Caenorhabditis elegans: one gene and its partners. The protein of the gene in region 3 purifies or fractionates together with the protein of the main gene of each other region. This does not show direct contact. Each region holds a gene or a part of one and is shown on either strand. Other genes may lie near its edges.

The links.
Region 1: the proteins of lsm-4 (region 3) and lsm-8 fractionate together in Caenorhabditis elegans (co-fractionation; one large-scale study listed by BioGRID). This does not show direct contact.
Region 2: the proteins of lsm-4 (region 3) and eif-2alpha fractionate together in Caenorhabditis elegans (co-fractionation; one large-scale study listed by BioGRID). This does not show direct contact.

What each region holds. Positions count from the first base shown.
Region 1 is NC_003282.8:6,324,101-6,331,633, reverse strand, and holds lsm-8 (U6 snRNA-associated Sm-like protein LSm8), read right to left. Parts: upstream 5,109-7,533; 5' UTR 5,102-5,108; coding exon 5,018-5,101; intron 4,791-5,017; coding exon 4,675-4,790; intron 2,526-4,674; coding exon 2,429-2,525; 3' UTR 2,155-2,428; downstream 1-2,154. Other genes in the region: Protein seu-1, read right to left, coding at 1-127, 1,134-1,250, 1,340-1,474, 1,622-1,867, 1,981-1,995; sqd-1 (RRM domain-containing protein), read right to left, coding at 6,199-6,323, 6,401-6,908, 6,996-7,289.
Region 2 is NC_003279.8:2,070,162-2,079,079, reverse strand, and holds eif-2alpha (Eukaryotic translation initiation factor 2 subunit 1), read right to left. Parts: upstream 6,401-8,918; 5' UTR 6,392-6,400; coding exon 6,274-6,391; intron 5,662-6,273; coding exon 5,114-5,661; intron 4,375-5,113; exon of another isoform or gene 4,374-4,374; coding exon 4,125-4,373; intron 3,094-4,124; coding exon 2,980-3,093; 3' UTR 2,155-2,979; downstream 1-2,154. Other genes in the region: pcyt-2.1 (ethanolamine-phosphate cytidylyltransferase), read right to left, coding at 54-112; phb-1 (Mitochondrial prohibitin complex protein 1), read right to left, coding at 6,782-7,090, 7,140-7,256, 7,326-7,727; rpl-27A (Large ribosomal subunit protein uL15), read left to right, coding at 8,476-8,640, 8,873-8,918.
Region 3 is NC_003280.10:7,251,053-7,256,715, forward strand, and holds lsm-4 (putative U6 snRNA-associated Sm-like protein LSm4), read right to left. Parts: upstream 2,112-5,663; 5' UTR 2,050-2,111; coding exon 2,044-2,049; intron 2,002-2,043; coding exon 1,861-2,001; intron 1,630-1,860; coding exon 1,552-1,629; intron 1,544-1,551; coding exon of another isoform or gene 1,510-1,543; exon of another isoform or gene 1,502-1,509; coding exon 1,355-1,501; 3' UTR 1,180-1,354; downstream 1-1,179. Other genes in the region: prx-13 (Peroxisomal membrane protein PEX13), read right to left, coding at 31-298, 764-846, 898-951; ada-2 (SANT domain-containing protein), read left to right, coding at 1,510-1,543, 2,368-2,480, 2,537-2,997, 3,043-3,316, 3,367-3,595, 3,653-4,195, 4,328-4,464. UniProt on the Caenorhabditis elegans protein: Plays a role in pre-mRNA splicing as component of the U4/U6-U5 tri-snRNP complex that is involved in spliceosome assembly, and as component of the precatalytic spliceosome (spliceosome B complex).

The DNA of each region.
Region 1 (7,533 bases), on a different chromosome or scaffold from region 3:
CTCTTTTCTCCTTATCCCCGTGGCGACGTGAAACATCCGAAGACGATTTTCGGCGATTTTCCGAGTGTCGAGACACAGAAACATCGGTTGAGTATGTCATTGGACGATTGTCGGCGGCAGGTCGCTTCTGCAAATTTTCAATATATTTTAAGAGGCATAAGTAAGAAATATAGAAATGAACTGACAATATTTGTGTGCTTTCTTGACTCAATATGAAAGCTAATCCTTAAGTACAAGTGATAATCTTCTTATCAATGAAATAACCTGGACAATGACAGAAGAAACATAGAAATAGAGGCCTTATTGTCTATTACAAGTATTACTAAAATACAGGAAAATTGAATAGCGTAGTTTCTAGTGAAAAGTTAGAATAGAAATACGAGATTTCCAGTTTTAGCTTAATATTTTCAATCGTGAATAAAATTTGAATTCTGGATACAGCGAACGTATAACGATCGTCATTCAAATGATAAAAATTGCATTAATGCCTTGCGGATAAAAGAAAAGAAACACACTTTGTGTCCTCAATTTCAATTAAAACACGAAAAGCAACACAGAGGCGCGGAATGCCATCAATCACTCAGTGCTCTCAGTCTCACTACAATCAGTTTGACATTCTTATCATCAAAAATTCTCGCACCGACGTCCTATCACATAAATGCCGTTGTTTGCATGGGCATTCGCCTATTCAAATTTGAAGAATGCCGAAAAAAGGCAATTTCGATGAGATACACACAGTTGAAGTTGCAGCAGAAAAGAAGGAATAAATAAAATATGAAGCGATTGTTTACGATGTGCAAACTATTCTATTATCACTTCCTTCAGTGCCTAAAGTTGAAAGTGTCTGAAGACGGAATTGTAGGTGCAAGCAGAAGAGGAAGACGAAGTTGGACAGGGATGGGAATTTTCAATTCAAGAATTTCCAAGTTTTCAGTATTGGGAAATGAATAGATATATATGATTTTCATGTGGTTAATGAATCGTTTAGAAGAACTTCGAATCCATTATGTTCACGGTGACACATGAGCCAATGAGCATAATAAATCTGAAGAGCTCATTTTATTATTTGACGACGTTTACAGTGACAGTGGGAATACAATGACTCAGCTTGACGAATTTCTGTATAAACCTACCACTGCTGTGCTCTTTCGATTTTCATGCCTGTTGCTATGATGGTGGTGGGTCGACGATGAGACGACTGGAGCCTGGATTCTGGCAGCAATGTTGTTTGAACGATCAGCATCACGATCCTGCAAATGTTTTTATTTATATTTTTTTGTAGAAAATAACTGAATTCGGATCTAAAAATGCTCAGTGAGTCTAGTCTTTAGTTACAAACCGTAGATTTTTCTGGCTTCTTCTCTTTATCCTCTCTACGATGAGTCTCTCTATGTCTCTCCCCACTCTCATGCCTTCTCGATGACGACGTGACAGATGCTGACGTGGCTCCACGTGAAGATCCAGTCGATGTGACCTAGATTGATGAGATTCGTCGCGTTTCAAGATACAGCCCCCGAAGAAATCGGTGGGGGAGGATAAGTTTCAGTCAATAATCCAACAAATTCCATTACAGAAGAGGTTACTATAGAGATATTTTGGGTGTGAGTGTGAATCTACCAACCACTGCGTCTTTTGACTCCTTTTCCGGTGATCGATGACGTCGAACTTCAGGCGAACGTTGGCGATGATCCTGTGAACGTCTGACTGGTGAAATTGCTGAAGATCTGCGAATCGGCGACATATCTCTGCGTTGTGGATAATGAGCTGGATTTTGAAGACGGCGTCCGCCACCACCACTACCACCACGACCGCTAAATTGTGGTGTACGATGATCACGGAATGTTGGTCGACGATTGTCGTTCTGGTTCTGGAAAAAATGTTTATCGATTTTTACTTTATGCTTTTATTCTGGTAGGAAAGTTGAAAAACGCGCAAAAACTCTTGTTCAAAATTATCCTTTCCCCATTCTATTTAACTCACTCTGATACTGCTCATTTTGCAACTTCGATCCGTATATTCCGTTGAAATCGAGCACTGGAATATTTTCTGCAAGGTTATTTCTGTGAAATGGCAAAGTTCAACGAGGAAACGATATTAAAAAAAGAAATGTTAAACCGATAAACAAACGGTTGAAACACGAAAAAATACAATGACGTTGCAATTTGAATAAATGCATATTTAATACATTAACTATTAAAAACAAAGCAAATAAATATGTATAAATTTTCACAATATTTGAGAGGAAATTAGAGATCCAAAAATGGTAAAGAAACGATGGTATGAATACAAAACCGTCAAGGAAACAAGAAAAGAATGGAGAATAGTTTGGGAAAAATGATTTAAATGGGGAGAAGAAATGGTGGGGGGAAACGATGAGAATAACCAGTCAATACAACGCGTCAATGCAGAATATCGATTTGTGTGGAAATTATTGGGGAATCCAAATTGGTGCAAGTGGGGCCGCTTTCACATTTTCCAGATCAACGCGTTTGTCGAGTTCTTCATCGATTTCACCGATAATCGCTCTGAAAAATGATAGATTTTCAAAAAGAAACATTTGGAAAAATCTACAGTAGTTGCAGAATTGGTCTTTATATATATATACATCATAGCTTTAAAAGTTTAGTTTCAACTTTTGCAATGAAAAAGTGTTCCGATAATTTCTCCACCCCTCTCCAGAGGGAAACAGAACAGGTTCCGAACACTTTTTTCATGGAATCACATTTTCTTTGAACAAAGTTCGAACGGAATGAATTGAAAGGTGTGAAATTGTGAAAGTTTCGGACATTTGACGCATGTCTACATTAATCTTTTCCAGCTATATTACACTGACGAAAAGTGAGAAAAGATTTCATAAAATTGTGTTTTGAATGGGACATGAATAGGGCCAGAAGGGGTATCCTATCCAAAAATAAACTATTTCGAAATATGAGTATTTATCACTTGACATTTGGAGTGGAGTATAGAGAAGAGTGGTGTATCGGAAACGAAAAATCAATAAATATAATGAAACTAATCAGAAAACAATTAGGTATTGAACAGAGACTGGAAGAGCCAATTTAGAGACTTCAATAAAATAATCAATCGCATTCGCTCAACGAGGAGTTTTTTTTTTAAAGTTTTAGTTCGTTTGGAACTTAACTGAATATGTTTTAACTATAAGCGCTTTTCAGATAGAAACGACAAAGTAAAACTGAAAACTGAAAACCTAGTAAGCAAGTTGTGAAGCTCCGACATAGAATAGGAAAACGGATACTTTTTCAACATTTTTCCCATCGCGTTGTCCATTTTCGTATTCGTTCTCTCGTTCACTATAACTATTTCCCTCTTTCGTTGTTTTTTTTTGTTGCCGGCGAAAATGTGAAGAGTACAAACAAAATAAATTGCTGGTGCTGCTGCAAGGCTTCGGGCAATCATATTGGTCAAGCATCAAATTGTGATTGAGGGCGAGAAAATGCCGAACGATTGGAAGAGATGTTTTGACACGTCATGCTTCCCCGACTTTTCCGTGTTTCCGACCGTAACAGAGCACAAGAAACGACCAGTTGCTATGTTTTTAGACGGCTGCCGAAAGCTGAATGATCAAAGGAACAACAGAAGCACTTGATCTGGTTGTTATAGAACATCAGGTACCAGGACTACTTGCACCTTTCTTTTTTTTTTAAATGATGACTCAATGTTGACTGGCGAAGGTATGTCGACGGAACGTTATAGAAAATATTCAACTGGAAGAAATGAAGTAAAATCAATTTGATGTTTCTGAGATGATAACATTGACCCGTTTTGAAGTGAATTGAACGAGAAAATTCCATTCTCAGCACTGATAGTCAACGACCACAATTAAATCTTATCATCGCATGGGTGCAACATTATAAAAAACGGATGATTAATGTCATCGGAAAAGATTGAATCGAATAGAAAAAAAAACTCTTGATGATAATTGAAATTAGGTCGATCTGTTTTAACACAGAGAAACTATTCTAACGCGACAATTTAAAAAATCGATAATTCATTTGAAGCAATTGGTCCGTAGAGCACTCCAAAAGAAAGAACAGAAGAGAGAGACCGGGTGAAATAGAGAGTACATAATGACCAACGAGTTTTTAGATTCGAAAAGATTGAAGAATGGCGATAGAGCGAATTTGCAACAAGCAAGGCGATGTGAAGCTTTTTATAAGGTTTAATGGGGCGATGTGAAAAAAAAATCCAGATAAAATGCTCCAAATGTTCAACATTTGTACCCGGTCTTTTATTAAAAGTCCAACATCTCCTCTCAACAAGAGAAGACCATGGATTTTGAGCAATAAAAACTGTCTTGGTTTTTAACACTCTCGTACATGATCAAGAGCTTCTTTGCTGAAGCAGGCGGCTCCGCCACTACTCAATTGAAACAATTGGTCAGTTTTTCGATAATGTGCACGGAATGGAAGGAAAAGCATGCCGAGTCCAATGTTTTCGAGGGTTTGTTGATCGTTTGACCCACGGATTGGGTGGTACGGGAACTCGGAAGTAAAATTCATCGGAATAAATGAAGTAGATATTCAAGAAGAGACATTTCTAAACTCTTCATCAACAACTAATTTTAGTCGCAGAAAACCTATAAATTCCAAAAGCAGAGCACCGTGACAAGGTAAAATCGATTTTTAAATTATGTCCCGTCAATTTTCAACTTACACATTCTCTCCTCGAATAATATATAGTCCCAATGGTGTCGTGAGCACACCTTCCGTCTCAGAATACGACCTTTCGTGAGCATCTTCAATCACCAAGTTGATTAATTGATCGAATCCCTAAAATTGTATAATTGAATAAAATATTGAAATTTTAAAAGGTAACATAATTTAATTATTTAATCCGACACATAAGCTCAGTCTTTTTGAACAATTTCTTCAAAGTTGGGATTCAAAATCTCGTGTTTTATAATAATCAAGATGTGCTGCATTTTTGAAATTTCTTGACAAAGGCTCGAACCTTTGTCGCCAAGTGCAGAAGCAACATTTCTTTCTAGATATTTTACCTTCAGAAGTCCAACGATAACCCGACCATCACCAGTGACCACGTTCACCATCCGATTCATGTACGCATCTAGAGTTGAAGTCATATTTTATCTGAAAATTGACTTCTAAATATTGAAGTTTATTGTTCCCAAGTGAGATATTTTTCACGGCAACCCACCTGTTCGCATTCAATTCATGAAGCATAAAAATTTAATGATAATATAAGAACAACTAGTCCTCAAAAATTTCATTCTCAGCTTAATATCAACACAAATGTTTGACATGAATCTATCATACATTAAAAACGAATGTGACAACAAATAACATGTCAAACGAAGAGGCAGTTATTAGAATCGGTTGGGGGGGGGCTTTTGGGAGCGAATTTACGGGTGAGATTGGCAAAAAACGAAGGAGAAAAAGGGAGAAGCTTTTGTTGGGTGGCTGGGTGTTGTGAGATTAGACGAAGACGGGACACCTGACGATTCATCAGATACACTTCAATGAGATGAGGGAAATTAACAACTAACTGCACAATTCAATGTGAATATACTTGACAACTACAGTGAATTGCACAGTCTAATTGGTTACCAGTTCCTGAACAAAGGAAAAAGCACCATAACAACAACTAAAAGACAAAAATTGGGGGCGAAGCATACAGACTTTAGGGAAGAGAAGTAAAAATACAGTTTGTTTTCTGCCGCAGAATCGCTCAAAGAAAAAACGAGCGAAACAATTAAAACAACAAAAAATGACTGAAAAAACTGATGGAAATAAAGTACTTCTACACATCTAAAAAGGCGGGTGGATAAAGTATTATGTTCACAAGAACATCATCTAAAACAACAAAAGTATGTTATTATTATTCCTGGAGTTATTCAAATCAAAGATTACCAACGGAAAAAAGTTGAGAGTCGATGATAGTTTGGGTGAGAATCAGAGAAACAAAACAAACTGGTTCGATATAAAATTCAACCTCGGGAACAACACATCTCAGATCGTCATTGCCAAAAAAGGAATTAAAGAAAAACGCGCGTTAGAAATTTAGGGTCGATTTGTAACTGCTTTTGATTGAGTCTGGGCGTGAGGACAAAACAATTTGGACATTTTTTGAAAGATTAGGTAGGAAGGAAACAGGAATTCTGAAGAGGACTGTGATGGAGGCATTTCAGATGGTGATTGAGGTGATGTTCTGAAGGCACATTTAGAACTGTTGGGCTTGAGCAGTTTGTTGTTGTGGCTGCTGTTGGAAGCGTGGTTGGCCATTGTTGCCCTGTCTGGCTCCTTGAGCTTGTTGGTAATCGAATCCACTGTTATTTCCTGCAAAACCTGATAGAATAAGTATACTGATGCATTCCTTGTGGAATGAGTCACAAGACATGGAATCAAATAGTAACAAAACTAACTCTGGTATCCGCTTCCGTAACCTTGCGATGATCCGCTGTTGTTGTGATGTGCTGCACCTTGTTGGCCGTAATAACCGTTTCCGTACCAGTCTCCCCAAGCTGCTCCAGTAGCTCCGTATGGCATAGCTCCAATTTGTCCCCATCCAGCATACCATCCCGAGTTGTTATTTCCACCACGTCCACCATACATTCCGCGACCACCTGGCATACGCCCTTGGGCGCCTGGGAACCGTTTTCCTTGTGGAACTGCTTTTTTCACGTCACATTCGCGAGTTCCGAAGGTCTGTTTTGTCTGGGAAGATGCTTTGTCTGCGGACTCCTCCTCCTCGAATACGATAAAAGCGAAGTTGCGACGAGCCTTGGTCTGCTTATCGAATGGCCATTCAATGTCGTCGACCTTGCCGAATTGTTCGAAATGAGAGCGAAGATCTTGCTCGCTGTAGTCCGATGGGAGTCCTCCAACAAACACCTTCTTGTTTTCCCTCGATTTTGCTGGCTTTACCTCGACCTATAACAAGAAATATGTTTATTGTCAATTGAACTTATATCTTTTTAGTGCCATTTAAGTAGGCGAGGAAAAAAAACAAGAACTCACAGATTTTCCCTTGATGGTTTGTTCGCGAGCAGCAAGGGCCAATTTACAGCCCTCTCCAGTGGTGAACTCGACAAATGCGAACCCTCTGGAGCGGCCGTTAGTCCGGTCGTACTTGACTTGAGCTTGAGCAACTTCTCCATATTGGGTGAAGTGGGAGCTCAAATCTTCGTTGTTCACTTCGGGCGAGATTCCACCAACGAATATCTTCTTGTCCTCGTTTCCCTTCGTCGAGTGTCCATTTTCCTTGATAGTCTCAGAGGCGTTACCGTTAATCTTGTTATCTGTAGCTTCCATTTTTACTACTATCTGAAACACAACTATATTTACTGCATCGAGACCTTTAATTCACCCACCTTACTTTACTGAACCAAAAAAAAAGAACAAATAAAGGTAAAAGCTGGATAAAAAAGCCTTGGAAATTAAAAAAGTGTAGCCGTTAAGACTATCTAGAAAATACCCTGAAAAGTATACAAATTAGTGGATGAAAAAGACACAATAAATTGTCAAATCGGTAAGAATTGGGATTTCGTTCGAGAAA
Region 2 (8,918 bases), on a different chromosome or scaffold from region 3:
AAACCGAAAAGAGACACTTTGACACCACGTGTCGATTCCAGCCAAAAACCAACCATCCATCAGCCCAAACTCGATTTCCTTTGGGCAGTCCATCTGGTGCTAATCCGCTCATTTTTGAACTGAAATTTTAAAAATAATTTTTTTTTTTAATTTAAGATCAAAGTTCAAATTGTTGCAGAAGAAAAAAAAATTTAAAATCACGTTAATAATATTTTCTCACTTAAAATTTTAAAGGTTGAGTACCGAAATCTGTGAAATATTTTTTATATTACTCCAAATTTTCCCCTAATTCCGAATATCTATGTGAAAAAATTCAAAAAAAATTCCCTGATATTATATTTTAGCTTGAAATCGTAGAATTTCATTTGTCCCCCGCATCACTTTTTTTAAAATTCGCGCCCAAACAAATTCGCATTGGAGCGCGCTTTGATTTTCTTCATTTAAATATTTTATTTATTTTCCGCCGAATTCAGTTTAAACCAGTTTTATTCATTTTTGTCGAAAAAAATCGATAAAAGCTCGACAAAAATGAATGAAACTGGTTTTCAAAAAACTGCATTCGGCGAAAAATAAATAAAATATTTAAATGAAGAAAATCAAAGCGCGCTCCAATGCGAATTTCTTTGGGCGCGAATTTGAAAAAAAGTGATGCTAGTACAAGCGATTTCAAGCTTAAATATAAAATCAGGGAAATTTTTTTGAATTTTTTCACATAGATATTCGAAATCAGGGGAAAATTTGGAGTCAATTAAAAATAAATTAAAACAATGTAGTCAACGGACATTGAAGAGTGACCCCGACATCACCCGATTAAATAGCAATCGGAATGAAAAAATGCGGAAAAAAAAAGAAAAAAATTGTGACGTTATCAGTTCGAAAAGGACGTCGAACCCGGAGCAGACCGCCTGTCATGGAAAAAATATTTAGTCGAGTTTTTTCATTTTCAATGACGAATTGTGGAGGAGTTTCTCACAAAAAATTCAAAAATTGCACTTCCGGGATTTTTCTACTCAGTAAGCCTAGTGGGGAAATTGCTTTAAAACATGCCCATAGGGTCACAATGACCGAATATCACGATAAAAAAATTCAAAAAATTTTCTAGATTTTATATGATTTTTTTTTGAAAATTGAAAAATCTCAGTTTTTGCCTAATTCCTATTTGAATTACCGCCAATTGAAATTGTTCGATGGAGCGCACTTGCATTATTTTTATTTATTTATTTTATTTTTCTCATTATTTCACTGATTTTATTCGTTTTTTGGGGGTTTTTAATCGGAAAAATAGAGAAAAATGCAAATTGGTCATTAAAAAATTACTGAAAATGGGTAAAACTGTGTTTCGACGCCAAAAATCCTGAAAATAGCATATTCCACAGTTTTACTCATTTTCAGTTACTTTTTAATAAATCTTATAAGCATTTACCTTGCATTTTTCTCTCTTTTTCCGATAAAAATACACAAATAATGAAGAAAATCAGTGAAATAATGAGAAAAATAAAATAAATAGTGCAAGCGCGCTCCATCGAACGAACCCAATTGGCGGTAATTCAAATAGAAATTAGGGGAAAACTGAGATTTTTCAATTTTCAAAAAATCATATAAAATTTAGAAATTTTTTTTGAATTTTTTAATCATGATATTCGGCCATTGTGAAGCAATTTTCCCACTGGGCGCACTCCACCTTAAAAAAATTTCATTGAAAATCAAAAATGTTGCCAATTTTTTTAATAAAATCCTTCCGAAATCTGAAAGTTGGTAATTTTATAGAAAGTTTTAATTATTTTTCTATTTTTCGCGTCTAGAAACTTCAAGAAAACAACACAAAATGACGTTTGGTCACACCACAAAACACATTTTGTTTGTTTCCGATGGAAACAAAAATCGTAATTTTTCCATTTTCCCCTTACACAAAAGAAAGGCAAATTTTCGAAAATTTGATAAGAAACTTGAGATAATCAATAAAGGTTCAAAAAATATTCCGGCGTTGAAACAATGGCAGTTGCCCTTCACCACGTGATCAGGTGACCTATGCGCACGCGCGCGGGTCTCCGAGGACCACCTCTTATCGATCATTTCTGGCGGGGGGAGAATGGTCAAGTATTGAACACAGAACGTCTGCTTCGTAACTGCTGGAAAAAGAAGCCTGCGATGAAAAACCAGCTCACTGTTCATAACGAATTGGGAGCCCACAAAAATGGAAAAAAAACGGGGGATGGGAGACAATAAATAGAAGGTCAAAGGTGGAGTATCGAAACCTGAGATTTTGCATTTTTAGACCCAAAATACTACCGAAAACTACCTAATGAGGCGTTTTGAAAATTTCTCAAAAAAAGGTTATGGCGGTTCAAAGTTCTGGGAAAAATAGCCCATTTTCAGCTAAAATCGAAATTTTTGCCAACTTCTCGGTGTCGTAGAGTCTGGAACTTAAGTTTTATTTAATTATCACTTTTTAAACAATATTTTGGTCTTTTATTAGACATTTATTCGTTAATGTAAGCACATTTTCGACCAGTGGGGGACAAATAAAAGTTACATTTTTGTGCCCCAATGATCGAAAAATCAACTAATCAACGTCTAATAAAAGACCAAAATATTGTTTAAAAAGTGATAATTAAATAAAAATTAAGTTCGAAACACTGAGACACCGAGAAGTTGGCAAAATTTCGATTTTAGCTGAAAAGGGGTATTTTTTCCGAAACTTTGAACCGCCATAACTTTTTTTTGTAAAAAATTTTCAGAACGTCTCATTACAAAATTCGGTAGTTTTGGGTCATTTTAGGTCTAAAAAAGCAAAGTCTAAAATATCGGTACTCCACATTTAAAGGGGGAAAGGAACAAAACAACAGAACAGATGAAGAGAAATGATAGTGCCAAAATTGAATAATACTATAATAATAGTCCAGAAAGAATCGGAGCCAATTACACCAATAAAAGCAAAAAAAAAACAATGGGAATTTTCAATTTTCAATTTTCAAATAATTAATCATCCTCCTCATCACTGTCTTCATCGTCGCCGGCCTTCTTTCGGTTATCTCTGCTGGCTTCTTCCGCGTCGACTTGTTGATCCAAACCCTTTGGAGCCATGAGTCCATCCTGAAAGAAAAATTTTTTTTCGTTTTTCTAGCTTTCAAGGTGGAGTACCGAAATTTGAGGCTTTGTTTTTTAGACCCAAAATGATCCAAAACTACCAAATTCCGTAATGAGACGTTCTGAAAATTTTTCAAAAAAAAGTTATGGCCGCTCAAAGTTTTGGAAACATGTTATATTTTCAGCTAAAATCTCAAATTTTGGCAACTTCTCGATGTCGCAGCGGTTGGAACTTAATTTTTATTTGATTGTCGTTTTTTAATGCATGTTTTGGCATTTTATTTCGTGTTTTTTCGTTGACTGAGATTCTTTATGGTCGATGCGGGCACAAATACGATAAAAGTTTGAGCCCGCATCGACCGAAAAAGCATCTCAATTAACGAAACAACACGAGATAAAATGCCAAAACATGCATTAAAAAACGACAATCAAATAAAAATTAAGTTCCAACCGCTGCGACATCGAGAAGTTGCCAAAATTTGAGATTTTAGCTAAAAATATAACATTTTTCCAAAACTTTGAGCGGCCATAACTTTTTTTTGAGAGATTTTCAGAGCGTCTCATTACGAAATTTGGTAGTTTTTGGCCATTTTTGGTCTAAAAAGTTTTTCGTGATAATTTTACACGAATTGGCAAGTAGAGCTTACACGTGATGCGAATCATTGATAAAACATCAATTTCTGTTTTTACTGCACTGAAATTCCGGCACAATAGCTCTCGTAAATCGACACAAAAGTAATTAAATCACTCCGCGGAAAAATGGAATTTGGATGATTCTGATTTTGAATTTGATTTTAAAAAAAAACCGTTAACCACATTCAAAACAAGAATCGAGTTATTCAAATTTCTTTTTTCCGCGGAGTGACTTAATTACTTTTGTGTCGATTTACGAGAGCTATTGTGCCAGTACAGTAAAAACAGAAATTGATGTATTTATCAATTATTAGTATCACGTGTAAGCTCTACTTGCCAATTCATGTATTATAAAATCATCACGAAAAAATGCTTGAAATCGTCTTAAAAACTCCAAAACTCACATCATCCTCATCCTCTTCCTCGTCCTCGTCTTCCTCTGATTCCTCCTCATCCTCATCTCCATCACCCTTCTTCTTCTCATCATCAATATCCGTCACAATTCTCGCCTCCTCCTTGATCGTGAATTTTCCCTTGAATCCTTCAATCGCATTTTTGATAGTATCCAGAATGCTGTTGACGGCCTCAATTCCACCTTCTCTGTCCAATGTTTGTGTGGTGACGACGAAGTGGGGAGCGGCGATGAGATTGATCTGAATTAGACAATTATTTTTTAAATATTTAAAAAAAAACAATTTCGCACTGCGCACATGGGCGTGGTTTATTGGAGGCGGGGATTCCGGCCGCAACCCTGCGGCGCGCTTTTTTCTCGCTTTTTGGGTGCGGTAATTTTCCTTTTTTTTCGTTTTTTTTGTCCAAAATTTCATGATTTCGATCGATTTTGGCCGTTTTTTTTTCGAATAAAGAAGTGTTCAGCTATTTTTTAAATGAAAAATAACCAAGTTTTCACATTTTTTAACCGAAAAAAAATCACCCAAATCTTGCACATTATTTGAAATTCCCCTGTTAATTTATCTTAATATTGTGAATTATTGTCATTTTTAAAATGTCCTTCTTGATAATTTGTATATTTAAATGAAGAGAAAGCGAGTTTTATCGTATTTTCAGAAAGAGAGACAAAAAAGCATTTTTTCGGGTAAAAACTGTGTTTAAAAAATAGCTGAAAACTCTCTTTCTGAAAAATATTATAAAACTCGCTTTCTCTTCATATAAATATACAACAAGTTATAAAAGAAGACATTGAAAAATGACAATAATTCACAATATTAAAAGAAATTAACCGGAGAATTTTTCGGGTAAAAACTGTACTATGAAAACTTGGTTTTTTTCTTCGAAAAAACGGACAAAATCGAGCGACATCGTGAAATTTTAAACAAAAAACGCAAAAAGCGAGAAAAAAGCGCGCCCATGTGTAAAATCTATAAAATGAAACCTTAATCGGGAAGGTTCCATTTGAGCAGTTCTTTCCAGCAATAAGTGCAGCCTTCACAGCATCAATACCATCATAATCGAAGCAGGAGACTTCAATATCAGCGCGAATTTTAACCGCCTGAGGGGTGAGCTTCTTCCTAATGTCCTCCAAGAGTTTCTCCTTAATATCTGCACTAATATCACACTCATCCAAGATCGTCGGTTCGGTGATCGCCTTCTTGAATGCGTCATATGAAGCTGCTTTCCGTTTCTCTTTGCGATCAAAGTGCCACGCGGTCTTTTGGTACAAATCCTCCAACTCTTCGTCGGTAGTGTATCCGACTTGCTCGGCCACGTGTCTCAAAATGCTGTTCACCATTTTGGCGTTCGCGAATCGCTCGTCGCACTGTTTCAAGTCTTTCTGGTAGACACGACGCTTCGACAGATCAATGTAACCTTTGTCCTTGTCGACACGGATCACGACGACGCTTTCACTTCGGCCGACACGGATTAGCTTGTTCACTGAACGGATACGACGACGGGAGAGCTCGGAGAGCAGGATCATACCCTCTGAAAAATGATTTAATTTAAAGGAGGACGAACGGTTCGGACGATTTTGAACGTATAGACTCAAAATGAGCTCAAACGAACGAATTTCGTAATGAAACTGCTCAAAAATGTTTCAAAAATTTTTTTATGGCGGTTCAAAATTTTGAAAAATTGCACTGATTTTAGCTAAAATCACGAATTTTTCCCTTTTTTCCGTGCCAAATCCTTCCTAAGTTAGCTTTTTTGGAATCATCGTCTTTTATTACATATATTGGTAGTTTATCTCATTTAATTTTACCGATTAAAGTATATTTAAAGCCGATAGGTAACCAAAAATCAACGAAATTAAATGAGATAAACTACCAATATATGTAATAAAAGACGATAATTCCAAAAAAGCTAACTTAGGAAGGATTTGACACGGAAAAAAGGGGAAAATTCGTGATTTTAGCTAAAATCATTGTAATTTTTCAAAATTTTGAACCGCCATAAAAATTTTTTGAAACATTTTTGAGCAGTTTCATTACGAAATTCGTTCATTTGAGCTCATTTTGGGTCTATACGTTCAAAATCGTCCGAACCGTTAGTCCTCTTTTAATTCGATTTTTGTTTTAAAATGATGATTTTAAAAACCTTTATCATTGTACTCGGAAAGCCGGACGTAGGCACCCATATCGGCAATCATTTTAACATTGGCGACAACGGTCTCCTCGACATCGGGGAATTGATTCTCGTAGAAACGGCATTTCATTAACGCCATCTGAAATGAGAAGAAGAAAAGTTTAGCATTAAAAAAAAAGAAAATTGAAAAGAAATAAGAAAATTATAAATAATGATTTTGGGAAATCAACCATTGAAAATTAATAAATTCCCAATTTCAAATTCATTATATCGCGAACAAATTATTCATTAGACGAAAATTTCCAACAAAAACAAGCAAAAAAAATGAAAAAGCTACGATACCTACACAAAATGAATGAAGGAAATGACCTACTCTAAACAGAACAAAAAAAACGAAATTTAAAAAGTATTTAATTGAGAATTCGGGCATGATTATTCTCGAAAGTTCAACAGAGTGAAAAAGGCTCTTTGAAAAGGGGAAAATGAGTGGAATTCGTCTAAAACACGTAACCGGAGATATTTAGGATTGAAGGTTGAGAAGGGTTTGTTGGTTTCCTGGAAGATAGGTGACATTCTTGTTCTTGGCCATACGCTCGGCGATCTCTTCGGCGGCCTCAATCTTTCTGAGCTCGACAAGTCCGTCTCCGGCAGAGGCAAAGGCCTTGGCAAGAAGCTTTGCGGCTTGAGCATCTCCTTCGGCGGTGGTAACGGCGGCGATCTTCATTTGTTCAGCCTTCTCGACAAGGTATCTCGCTTTTTCGGCTTCTTGCTGTGCGACTTGCTTCATTTCGACGGCTTCAGTGAATTCACGTCCAAAGTTCAAGTGGGTCTGAAAAATCATGGAAATAGCTTAAACTTCATAAATCTGGTGAACTTACAATTGCAATATCATCAAGGAGAAGTCCGAACTGTGCAGCACGTTCACGAAGAGCCACGGACGCCCGTTGGGAGACAACCTCACGCTGGGTGATCATCTCATGAGCATCGAATTGCGCCTGGAATTAATTTTAACAAATTTTAAATCAAAATCAGTTCGCAATATTTAAATTAAAATTTTTTCTCACCACAACAGCCTTCAAAACTTCATTTGTAATGGAAGGAAGGACTCTTTCTGCGTAGTCCAAACCAATGTTCAGGTAGATGTTTGGAAGACGATCGGGGCTTGGTCTGTGAAGGATACGGAGAGTAATGTTGACGTTTTGCAAGTCTTTACTTCCAGTGATGGTGGTGACGGCTCTCGGCGTTGACCGGATATCAAAAATGATTGGTTTTTGTACCCATGGAATTAAGAAATGAGTTCCTTCTCCGACGACCTCGTTTTTCACTCCACTGAATCGGTCGAAGATGACTGCTCGTTGACCTCCATCAACATTGTAAAGAGCAGTTTGTGCGATTCCTCCAGCGATGGAAAGGCCCACTCCGACAGTTCCCAAGCGACCCAAAAGCTTCTGTGCAGATGCAGCCATTCTGGTAAATGGAAGTTAATAACTTGGACAAAAAATGGGAAATAGAAAGAGAAATGAACGAGCTATGATGCAAAATTGATAATAATCCTAATTATCACGAAATTAGATGGATGAATTAAATGGTGTCAGGAAATCTAAATTGAAAAAGTGAGTTTAGTCGAGTAAAATTAGAAAACAAAAAATACTTCAAAAATAATTACGGAATGTTATAAATAATGCAACACAAAGTATTTTTCGACTTTCTCCACGAATAAATCGATAATAACAGTGAGCCTGAATCAAAAAGTACAAAATATCAATAACTTATTTATTTGCAAAATTATTTAATTAAATTTTAACTAACTTTTCTGCTTTTTTAGCTTAAAAAATCGATTTAAATGATGAAATAAGTTGCGCAAAAAATAAAAGAGTTTAAAGGGAGGCTGCATTTCATCGAGAGGGTCTCGCCACGAAATGCGCATCAAACGAGTGTGACCGTACCTCAGATTTTGGGAGACACACTCACTGAATTTTTGCGAATATTTTAGGATTTCTTTTTGTTCTCAATGGTTTTTCGCTAGGTTTTAATGAAAAAAGTGTGTGATCTGGTCGATTTTAATTATCTTTAAAGACAAAATTTGTATTTTTGTAGTAATTTTATCCGAGAATATCGGGAACCTTTCATTGAATATTTTTCTCTGATTTTTCTTCTCCATTTTCGATCGAAATTTGCCGCTTTTACACATTCAAATTGTTTACTTTACAGGGTATGGCTCACGCGTTGAGAAAGACAAGAAAGCTCCGTGGTCACGTCTCGCACGGACACGGACGTATTGGAAAGCACAGGAAGCATCCTGGAGGTCGCGGTAACGCCGGAGGTCAACATCACCACCGTATCAACCGTGACAAGTACCATCCTGGATACTTCGGAAAGGTATTATTTTTAAGGTACTTTTTTAAAAGTTCGTTGGAAATTATCCGCTCCTATCTTGGCGCTTCCATTGGTGAATATGGCTGTGTATGTTATAGGAGAGATAGTAGTGCCTTTTGGCTTTCGGATCTCCTTCGGTGTTTGTCTTGCATCTCGACAAATGTCATCCTCTGGGTTCGAGACAATTAAATCTAATATGTTCTTTATTATCTGACACTCAAACTTTAATTTTCAGGTTGGAATGAGAGTGTTCCATCTCAACAAGAACCAACACTACTGCC
Region 3 (5,663 bases):
CAGATTTGTTTTTTTCAATAAAAAACTCACCTGCGTCTTTAATCTTCCAAATTGCTCTACAACTCCAATAACTGCTCGAAAAGAACTATAAACTGCATTATGAGTTGAATTGAGCATGTTGGCGACAGATGAGACTGCATTTACAACTGATTCGATTGATTGAAAAGCGCCTCGAGACTGTTCTTCTGCAAGTCGAGCAAAATTGCTGTCAGGTCCTTGACCATATCCCATATGGTTGAAGCCACCACCAAATCCACCGTAACCCATTCCTCCTCCATACATTCCCCCACCACCATACCTAAACAATATACAATTTTATTAATACAAAATATTTTCAAATCGAGGCTGCGCGAAACGTAGGCCCCTTTGAGTTATACAGTAACCCATTCTCTATCATTTCGGTACTGACTTTATTCGGTAAATTACCCAGACATGATATTTTACGATTTTGCGTCAAGGATACGGTACCCGGTCTCGAAACGACACATTTTTCTTAAATATGAAAAGGTGTGCGCCTTTAAATAGTACTGTAACAGCAAACTCTCGTTGCTGAGGGACTTTCATCGTTTTTTCATGCTTCTTCTCTCTTTTTTATTAGTATACTTGAATTTAAAATTAATTTATCGGAAAAACTACGAAAAATCCATGAAAATAAGGCAGCGACGAAAGTTTGAAACTACAGTACTCTTTAAAGGCGCAGACATTTTAGCATTTACGAAAGAGCATTCAAAAAAAAAAAAAATATTTAAAAAATAAAACTTACATTCCAGACCCTGGAAACGTATTCATTCCATATCCTCCACCATAACCAAAACCTGTATTGATCATTGGATTCGACATTTGATTCTTAAATATTATCGATTAGTAGGAGTTTCAAAACAATTTATCAATAATTACATCAAATGACCTTGGCGGCAGCGGAGGTGGTTGATTTGTTGGAGGTGCGGACATTATAATTTATCTGTAATAATAAATGGAATGTCGTTATTCGATTTTGAAAAATGGATTAAATTCAAGAAAAAATAAAAGAAATGGCAACTATGAAATTGCCGTTAGTCACATTGTGGACTACAATCAATGACTGCAGCGGGCGGTTGATAAGGACAACGTCCCATACTAGACTACATTGTAGTCTAGTAAAAGAGTGGGAGGACAGATGAAAGATCTTAAGATATTGTTGAAGTATAATTCAATTTATTGTAATAAAATTTCAAAACATGTGAAACAACCCGACTTGGGGAAGATCAGAAGAGACGGAGGAAGGTTTGGTTTTTGGGTAAAAAAATAATTTCAAATACATAAATTATTTAGAGTAAACGAGAAATTGTTATCAGCAATCGAAGCACTGCAGGAATTATCGAGCTCCTCCGCGTCCGCCTCGGTTTCCACCACCTCCGCGGTGTCCTCCACGTCCTCCTCGTCCACCACCACGACCACGGGATTGCTCGCGCTGCTGTTGACGACGAACTTCGTTGACTTCAGTTTTCACGAGATCGACCACCTGGAAGAATGGGAAATGTTATGTTGTCGAAGAGAAAATCAGGTACTTACTGTTTCTGGAATTCTGAGATACTTGATAGTAGATCCCCGGACATACGCTTCTGACATTTTGAAGAACTTGTCACCGTCCTGTAATTTAACATGTATTGTTAGTCGCAAATTTGCATCAATCCGAGAGTTTTAGATGTTTGAAATATTGAGCTGACATATGAATGCAAATTAAATATGAAAGGTTCTTTCTAAATTAGAATCTGTGAGCCGTTTAAAACAAAATTATGTTTTTTTTCAATAATAACGAAAAGAAATTTCTGAATAGCCAGTTTCTCCTGGGCTAACCATTTAATTAAACGAAACACTTACTTTTGATGTGAAAATAACATCCACCAAATGAATATTCATCCACGAATCGCAGGCTTTCAGGTGACCGTTATAAGTCTCGCCGTTCTTCAACTCCACAAGCATCGGGTGGTTTTGAGCGGTTTTGAGAAGAGAAAGTGGCAACTGAAATCATACACTATTTGAGTTCAGCTTAATTCGACTTACCACCATGACTATATTGATTTAGTGGGGTTGTGATTGTTTTTCACTAGTAAAACTTAAAGTGAGACAATCTGCAAAGAATAAATTAAGATTTTAAACTGAAATTACGGCGAAAAGACAATTCGAAACAAAAAATTCCGATAAAAAAAGATTTTAATGCACACAATATTTACGTTAAACAAGGCGACCATGCGTCATTTCGGAGGGTCGTTGGTGGATGATCATTTGAAAACAGGGTTCACCTCTGCAATCGATTTTTCTTTGTTTTCATCTCAAGATTATTAGTTTTATTTTAAAACATGATTTGAGGAATTTTAATATTTATAGGTTCAATGGCTGATGATACCGGAGAACATCCGGTATGCTTCAACTGCACATTACGAGTCGACCAAACCATTCATGTCAAATGCTTTGAATGTCCTCTGCGAATTTGTATCCTCGTGAGTTGACAGATTGTGAAGTTTTTAAGAACATTATTTTATTTTTAAAATTTCAGTGTTTCCAATGCGGCGCGGAATCACCACCACATCGCCGAGGTCACAATTACGAGCTTGTCAAGCCAACAAGTAATCCCGAAGCAATGAGCTGGACACACGAAGATGAATTCGAATTGTTAAAAGCTGCTCATAAATTCAAGATGGGAAATTGGGGAGAAATAGCTGAAAGTATTGGTCGCGGAAGAAAAGATGGTCATAATTGCAAGGATTACTTTGAAAAACATTTCGTGCGTGGATGGATTGGACAATTTTCCATAAAAAGTTCAAGTTGGGATCGAATTAAATATGGGATGTATATAAATCAAACATTAGACAGTGTGCTACAAAAAAACTGTTTGGAATCAACGGAAAGAATGCTTCTGATTCGAGACGCCGTTCGTGCATCTGGAGAAAGCTGGGATGAAAACGATCCGAAACTTGCGATAAAAGTGCAACAAGTATTAGAGCAGTATGTGCAAAAGTAAGTGAAAATGTCCTATTTTTCATATATTTAGAATTTCTTCAGAGTAATCGATGGTGACATTGAAACCAAGTATGAGCGCCCAAAATTCCTTACAAATCAATATGAGACGGAGCTTAGCCCAGATGACTGTGATCCTGATAATGAAAGAGATATGAAATCGAAGCGATCAGTAAAACAGGAAATAAATACTGATGATAGTGATAATGACAATTCGCCGGGCCCGTCTTCCAGTTGTCGGAAAAAGGGGCCTCCGAGTCCAAAGAGAAGAAAAACTACTCGAGTTATGAGAGAATCAAGCAGTGATTCGGACGATGATGTGAGTTTAAGGAAAATAACTAAATTCAGTTTTATGTGTATTTTTTCCAGAAAAGTCAAGCTTCTGATAAAGACACCTACCACGGCATGGAACGCGAAACAGAAGAAGAAGATCCTCCAAGCGCTTTTGAGACTGCACAGGAATTTGATACAGAAGATGAAGAAGAAGAGAAAAAACCAAAGAGAGGAACAGCTTCGAGCTCAAAGAGACGAAAGCGAAGGAGGATGTGGGTTTCGAAAAAAGATAGAAGATTGCATGAATTCCGTAAAAAGATGAACCGTGAGCAGAAACAAGGAGAAAAAAAGTTAGAAACTCTCGGCGCAATTTGTTCTTTAGAAGAAGTTAAAGAGCTCAGAAGTGCATATCCTCGTCTACTTCATGAAAGTGGTGTATCAAAGTCGGAAACTCGTCCAAAAATGAGAAGAAGTGATGAGTTGAAAATTCTTGGATACAATAACGAACGTGAAGAATTGGAGTGTGAATGGTTCAATGAAGCTGAACAACTTATCAGTCGCCTCACAATATCTGCTACGGAACCTCAGAAAGATCAGAGACTCGATATGGAAAATGATATTAAGTTCGCCCGTTTGAGACATTACGTTCGTCTACTCGGAATTCGGAAGGCTAAACGAAATACTGTGCTTGAACATGACAAGATAAATGAATTCATGAAATTCTACCAAGAAGCATGCTACGCAGCAGCCAAACGTCCAGTGAGCCAGCAGGAGATAATGGATTCACGTACTGAAAAGGAGAAGCTATTGGCAATGACTCAACAATTCCTGACTAGAGACGAGTATCGTAGCCTACGAGCATCCATTGAACGTATCGATAATGTAGTGGAACGGATCGAAGTACTTCAGGATCTTCAGAAAAACGGTATTAAAATTTTTATTTATATTAAAATCAATTTAAAATGAACAATTTTCTTTAGAAAAAAACATGACAACTTTGTCCTATTGAAAATTCATAAATACCGTTTGAAATTCTTATTATTATTTTATTTTTCAGGCGAGACCACTCTCAAGAATGCTCCAGTTGAACGCAAATCGAAGAAAAAGATGAGAAAAATCGATTGTGAACAGAAGAAAAAGATTGCTACCGAATGGAGCAAGTTTAAAAAGTGGCACACTGAAGGATGGGAGTAATTTTATCTCGTATTCGATTACCTATTTATAACATATTATTATTAATTTTCCCCGTCTCTGTTTGTCATATTTATTTTCACTTTCTAATTCATTTCCATCCCTTGATTCTCTAACTCATTACAAGCTCTGTACAATTATACAATTACTCCACCGTCAAAAATCTGTATTATGTTTTTTTTTTCATAATTTCATTTGGTCCTAATACATGTCTTCTCAACCTTATCAGACTGTTCACTTGTTTACTCAAACAAAAACTCGTCATCTCCTAGGAGCACAAAAACTGAGTCACAGAATGGAGACATTGTAAAAATACAATATACAAATTGTTTGCTCCTTTTACAACGAGACGCAGAGACAGGACAGTCTCCGTTTCGCAAGGACACTCGGAAGATGGCAGTCGGGTCTCTCTCTCACCTCTCTCGTTTTGCCCCCAATTTTCTCTTTACTATTAACCAATTTTTCTTTTTTCACACAATTTACCACGTCGCTTTTGTTTTCAAGGAAATCTGAATCAATCTTAAAGTTTTCTAAAAATAGAAACATGAGAAAAGTGGGCGGAGTCATCTGAAATTGATGAGATGACAAGATATTTAGTAGTTTTCATTGGAAAAGTAACTTGTCTTCATCTGAAACAACATTTGACACTTAATTTCGTATTTACTCCTCTCAAAAATCATGACTTCACCTGATATTATTGGAAATTGTGTTGCAGACTTTTTCGGTTTGTTGTGCATAAAAATCTCTTCATTTCTTTGTAATTTTAGAAAAGCTTCATTTCGAACAAAAACTTATTACGCTAACGCGAAATTTGGCGGTTTTTGGGCAAAAAAATACGGTGCCCGGTCTCGACACGACAACTTTTTTTAAAATGAAAACAGGCACGCGTCTTTAAAGAGTACTGTAATTTTTAACCTTTCTTTTTGCAGAATTTAATTTTTTCAGACTTTTTCGATAAGAATACAAATTTAAAATTCAAATATAACAATAAGAATCAACGATTTCAAGATATCGAGAGACAAATCATGAAAAGCGAAAAAGATCCTCAGCAAAGAGAGTTTGTAATTACAGTATACTTCAAAGGCGCACACCTTCTCGCATTTAACAGAAAATTGTCGTTGCGAGACCGGGCACCGTATTTTTGGCACAAAATCGAAACATTTTCAGCCTGAATAATACCAAATTTAAAAAAATATTTAAAA